Linked DNA regions of Mus musculus: region 1 is reported to be linked to region 2. The links are microRNA targets in miRTarBase. Many come from high-throughput screens and were not tested one by one. Region 2 holds a microRNA gene; the other region holds the end of a gene's coding sequence.

The links. The annotated mature microRNA mmu-miR-344d-3p reads GAUAUAACCACUGCCAGACUGA and lies in region 2 at 1,078-1,099, opposite strand. An mRNA with a match to its seed (bases 2 to 7 or 8) in the 3' UTR can be bound and repressed. Matches are read on the target gene's strand: a 7mer-m8 pairs with bases 2 to 8, a 7mer-A1 pairs with bases 2 to 7 and ends in A, and an 8mer does both.
Region 1: miRTarBase lists Fzd5 as a target of mmu-miR-344d-3p. The part of its 3' UTR that is shown has no 7-base or 8-base seed match.

What each region holds. Positions count from the first base shown.
Region 1 is chr1:64,732,387-64,735,386 of GRCm38, forward strand. Fzd5 (frizzled class receptor 5) reads right to left here. Exons shown (of 2, transcript NM_022721.3): 2 at 1-3,000. The coding sequence ends at 2,457. Among named protein-coding and RNA genes, the nearest start is that of Fzd5, 3.9 kb to the right of the region's middle.
Region 2 is chr7:61,725,179-61,728,379 of GRCm38, forward strand. It overlaps Mir344d-3 (microRNA 344d-3), which reads right to left and starts at 1,150; the gene lies at 1,071-1,150. The region is part of intron 6 of A230057D06Rik (RIKEN cDNA A230057D06 gene); the gene reads right to left.

The DNA.
Region 1 (3,000 bases), not on the chromosome of region 2:
CTGGCTAGAAACTCCTGTTGGCTTCAGGGAAGCAGGTGCGCTTTGTCTCTCTAAGGGTAAGGGAGAGGGGAGCAGAGGACAGAAAACTCCAGGCCTCTGAAGCTCCATCCAAAGGCATTCCCGGCCTCCAGCTCTAGCATTGCGCCCACTTCAACTGCTGTATTGTTCAAAGGGTATTATTAATCATTCTTTTTTTTTACAGCTTTGGCATGTTGCTTAGATGGAAAAAAATAATCATTCTAAAAAAGATGAATTAAATCACTTTCATCCGCTCCACCCCACAACTTTTAGATACACTGTATGTCCAATTCTCGATTTTCTTTGTGAGAGAGGAACAACCCTAACTATGCACAGCAGACTGAGGGGGGGTGGGTGGGGAGGGAGCAGCAGATTCTGGGAAGACCATGCTAAACAAGGCAAGAGGGCAAGGTGATAAGAAAAGAACCTCATTTGAAAAACAGAAGTGGTGCATAGCCAGTGAGTGTGTTGAGGTTCCCGGAAGGAAAAGGGCATCGGAATAAGACCTTCACAGAGTCCTGCATCTAGGTGTACAAGGTCTTGTGGAAGCCACTGAAATTCTAATTCTGACTCCAGTGAGCGAGGGCAGAGTATTTTACAAATGTGAACACCCTCTGACTGCTTACATTCCCAGTGGGAACTACGCTTTTTTCCACTCAGTCCCTGGGGCATAAAGCTGGCTCAGGCTTAACTCTCCCTACCCCCAACCCACCCCCCAGCTGCTGCAAAAGAAAATCGGGATGCCTAGACTCCAGCTGTTTCTCTAGGAAAGCTTGGTGACATTTCAGTGGCTTGGCCATTTTAGATCCCTAAATTCAGTCCCCGCTCTGCCTTGGTCACTGGTACGCCCTGCCATTTCCTTCCCAGTAATGGCCCCACACTCTTAGTGAATGAATAGTTAAATAGATTAGGAAAGCAAACAGACTCTTCTAATAGCAGGGAAACTGGGTAAGGGGGTGTCCATCACTATACAGGCTCTCTCAAAAGGGGGGGGAAAGAAACCTGGTCTCTCCAGCAGTGGCTTTACACTTACAGTAGCCCCCATATTACAAAGCTTAAGTTAGGAGTCTTGTTGGTTTTCAGGCTACTAGGGCATGGTGTAGCTGCTTTGGGGAATATATCTATCTGGCTTTAAACCTTGAGTTCAGGGCCATTTGTTTTCCCCCTGAGCCAAGGTTTGTTCCCAGGTAACTAACCTCCCTCCCCCAGTCTGAGCACTTCATTGGTGGGTGGGTGTGGTTTCTAATCACCACTCTCCACCAGGAGGAATAAGAAAAGCAAGGAGGACTGTTTAACATGATAAAGGAGGTGGGCCGGAGCCGCAGATTCGAAGCAATGGGAATTTACTTTAATTACTGGAAGCATATCCGTTTTTTGTCCTTTAATCTAAAAGAGAGCCCCCTTTAGCAAAGAGTCCTAACTACTTCCAGAAAAAGGGAGTGAATTTATTTTTACTGAAATTTGTAGCCTAATTTTTTATTCTCAAAAGCTCGGGGGTGGGGGGTGGGGGTGGGGCTCTCTGGAGCATCTTAAGAGCCACCCTCTCCAGCAGAAGGCTCACCACCTCACTAGTTCAGAATTCACATTCAGCCAATCCCCATCCCTCAGGCTCCAAGGCAAATGTTTAGGTCCGCTCTATAATGCCTCCTCTAACTTATTCAAGACACGACAAGGGCGGCTGGCTCTATCGGGGATGAGAAAGATGGCAGCTCGGCTGCCAAGAGCCCAACGCTTGCTGAGCAAGGTTAAGGAGGCTCACAAAACTCTAACCTTATCATGTGAGGGATGGTCCTAACCACATCATGGTCTACTTTCACAGAGGACTTGAGGGGGCTAGACACAGAAAGAGCAGATGGCCTCTGGCCTCTAAGTGTCCTGGACATTTTAAGCACTGTAAGAAGAAACTACCTTAAAACACACACACACACACACACACACACACACACTCCACACCTTCCCACTCACAGCAGCCTTTCACTGTTCACATTTATAAAAAAAAAAAAAAAAGACACGTATAGGAAATATATTTTCCTAATTTAGACCACACAGTCCAAAAAAACCTGAACCAACAGTAACCTCATTACAATGCCAATTTGAGGATTATGTAGCCCCCAAAGCAAAGGTAAATTTTGTTGCCAAAATGCAACAAAGTTAAAACTTAAAATACATATAAATTAAAAACAAGGTACTTCTAAAGAAAGCAGTAAGAAATGCAAACTAGAATACACTTAACCCACTGCCCTGCGAGCCGAGCCCCCTGTAGAAGACTGGGGACAGGTAATCTCTTGAAACCGCCCCCTTTTCCTCTCCAAGCCACTCTGGGAGGGGGCATCAGCACCAAGAAGGTAAACGGAAGTGACCTTCACAAAGCTACCAAGCGAAACAACTGCCCCCTTCAACTTCCAGCACTGTCCCTGGGCCTCGGCCTCCAGGCCTTCCTATACGTGCGACAGGGACACTTGCTTGTGGTATGCGGCGGTGGGGCCAGGCGGCCCGGTCCTGCCGGTGAGCGCGGCGCTGGCCTCCGCATAGTCTCCTGCGGCCATAGCGCCACCGCTCTTGTGGCCCCGCCGAGAGCTGCAGCAGCAGCGGCTGGTGAACCGCCGCCAAGACTCCAGAGTCTTGCCGGACCAGATCCAGACTCCCGACGTGATGCCCACCACCAGGCACATGAAGTACTTGAGCATGAGCACCCAGTACTCGGGTTTGGCGCGTGGCTGGCCAGCGTCCGGTCCCGGACACGCGCAGGTGAGGGCTGCCTCCCAGCTCTCCCGGTAGTGCTGCTCATACAGGTAGCAGGCCACCACGATGCTGGCTGGCACCGTGTAGAGCAGGGTGAAGATGCCGATGCGGATCATGAGCTTCTCTAGCTTGTCCGTCTTAGTGCCACCCTGCTTGATGACGCTCCGGATGCGGAAGAGTGACACGAAGCCTGCCAGAAGGAAGAGCGTGCCCACCAACAGGTACAGCACCAGTGGGCCC
Region 2 (3,201 bases):
CTAATTGCTTCTGTTGTAAACTCTGATTATAGAATTTCTTAGAAAATGTAATATCTAATATTGTAAGCATAAGAGAGCTTTTAGAATTATAGTGCCACATTCTGCCCATGGATTTCTCCAAGCATACTTAGTTTGTATGAAATGCTGGAGTGTCTCATATAATTCCACACTATGTGGTGGAATTCAGTGCTAAAAACAATGTTTATATGATGTATTTGGTACAATTAATGGGGTTGTAAGGTGCCAGGATATTTTCTGATGCATGTATAGTTATAAGGCATTTAAGACTGTCAGGAATATCTTCACCACAGTAAGAGAATTTCATAAATATCTAGGTTATACCACAAAAACTGGATCACTAAAGACAGAATGCAAATGACCAGAAAAGCATATAGGTCTAGAGGTATCCACTAGTACAAGGTCACTATGAAAATAACTGTCTTCATTTTCTTCTTTTACATGCTGTAATACCAAGATAGAGGTCAGCAAAATATGATCTTGTGATTCCCTTAAAGGGCTCCTGACCCCCCGTGAACTGTGATGTAGCAAAAGCCAGACTTGGAAAAATGACCACCTAGACAATCTAATGAATTAAAACAATAACAACACTCTAAACTATGGTTGTACCTATGGATGCCTTTTGCGAACAATGGCAGTAGGTTAAAAGAATCACTCTCCGAAGAGTACTTTGATTCTGGGTACTATATGATATGACTCTGGATTTTTCTGAGTGTTCATGGTGATTAGTTGAGAATATTTACTGCCAAAGGATTTCTCTCAGTAGCTGAATGAAAGATGTGAAGATGCGAGATATTACCTAGTCTCTGTCACAAGCTGTAGCTTGAATTTTGTATTTTATTTTCAGAAGACACAGCTCAACATGAAACAAGGAAGTAACATTTCAAATCAAATACCTGAATTTCCCATAGGGGGGTGACAGCTACGATATGAAACATGGAGTTAAGCAACCAGTGCATGGAGACTGAAATAAATAAGCACAGGCTTCCCAGCTTACCACTGGCTCTGTCTGCTGACAGTGACACAGCACTCTCCACTCTCCCTTCTCTTTAGCACCATTCAGTCTGGCAGTGGTTATATCCAGGACCAGATAAGTCCTGGAGTATAACCACTAGCCTGACTGATGAAATCTTCCCCTGCAAACAAATTTATTTGCTCTCCTTGCTTCTGATTGATGGAGAATGTGTATTCAAATAGAGAATGGCATCAGATCCAATCAGGAAAGAGATTTTATAACTAGGCATGCACATCAAATCCTGCTGTTACCATGGTGATCTCATCAGTGCTGCTGATTCATGCCCCAACCCTTCCACCCTGACTTCCCTTAAGAAAGCAGAAATATTGATAAAAAGATATCAGAAAAAGCTGTTTTTTACATTCTTCTTACTATATTACCAACAAAAAAAAACGTCAGTAGAACCTTTGAGCAGAGCACTTCCTATTTTTGGTTCCTTCTATTTAGATCCAGAGAGTTTGCCAGAATACCTCTCTTTCATTTTGGGCTTTTTTGTTGCCTGCTGAATAATTGTGATGTGCCTATGTCTCCCTCAGTGATTGATTATGTTGTTTTCTCTGATTATAGCCTTTCCTATTACAACAATATTTAATAGGGTATCATCAAAGTGGTTTTGGAATACTAAGTGCAATATTCTTCCTATATCCTGCTCCACCAGTACTCAATTTATAAGTGACAGTGAAGTGTCTCATAGATATGCACAATATTAAGAGGAAAACTAGAGTTGAAAATACTGTTCATATACTTTGGATAATTCCAACAATACATAGTATGTAGGAAATTTTAAACTGTGCTTATAAAGAAGACATAATTTTTTTGATTTACATATAGTTGCAAATTGTTTACTACTGTTAGGAATATCTGAATGAAAATACTACATTTAGTAAATATCAAGGTTATACCACAGAGACCTGGATGCTAAAGACAGAGTAGAAATAACTGAAATAAATATAGGTCTCGAGAAAGCCACTAGTAAAAGGTCCCCATGAAAACTATTGTGTTTATTTCTTTTTTGTATTGCATATAATATAAAAATGGAGATGTTCAGGAGATGGATGATGAATTGGTTTTCCTAAAGTGCTCATGACCCCCTAGATCATGTAGTTATTAATGAACTGACTTGGAAGAACAAAAATGCTAGAGATTCTTCTATATTGAACATAAAACACCAATATAAACAAGGGTTGAATAATTGAAAGTTTTATTTTATTTTTTTACCATTAATAAGAACATGCTGTCAGCATCACTGCCGAAAGGGTGAATATTTTCTGAGTATGGTAGTATCTTTGTCTCTTATTTAACTCAAGATTATTTCAGAAATATCATGATGGTATATTGAGGTCATTTGCTACCACAGCATTTCTCACAGTGTCTGACCTAAAGTTATGAAAATGTCAAAAATTTGCTAGTCTCCCTCATAAGCTGAAGCTTAATCTTGTATCTTCTTTGCAGAAGACATGACCCAAACTGACTAAGGCAAGGAATGGACACCAAAAGCTTATACCTGAATTTCACATGTGGTGACATTCCCTGTATAGAGACAAGGAATCATGTCATGTAATGGAGGCTCTGAAAAAAAACAAGAGCTATCCTTGCAACTGTCTACTGACTCCATCTTCTGTCAGTTACAGAAACACTCTTAAATTTCTTTAATAGCAAACAAGCAGGCTTTGGTTATACCCAGGACCAGATAAGTCCTGAAATATAGCCAGAAGCTTGACTGATAAAATCTTTTCTTGCAGACAAATTTATTGTCTCTTTCTATCTTTGTTTCTGATTGATGGGGTACATTCATCCAAACAAAGAATGGAATAATAAGATACAACCAAGAAGGAGATCATATAACTAGGCATGAACATCAAAGCATGCAGAAAACTTGGAGATCTCCATTAGTGCTGCTTATTTATACCTCACTTCTCCCTCCCTAGGTTCCCAGAAGAAAGCAGAAAAAATTTGAAAGTAGATGAATTGAGGAGGGACAGTATACATAAAATACTATGCTAGAGACACTAGCTCTGTGGGTACTGGTTAGTTCATATTGTTGTTCCACCTATAGGGTTGCAGACCCCTTCAGCTCCTTGGGTGTTTTCCCTAGCTTCTCCATTGGGGGCCCTGTGCTCCATCCAATAGCTGACTGTGAGCATCTACTTCTGTGTTTTCCAGGAACT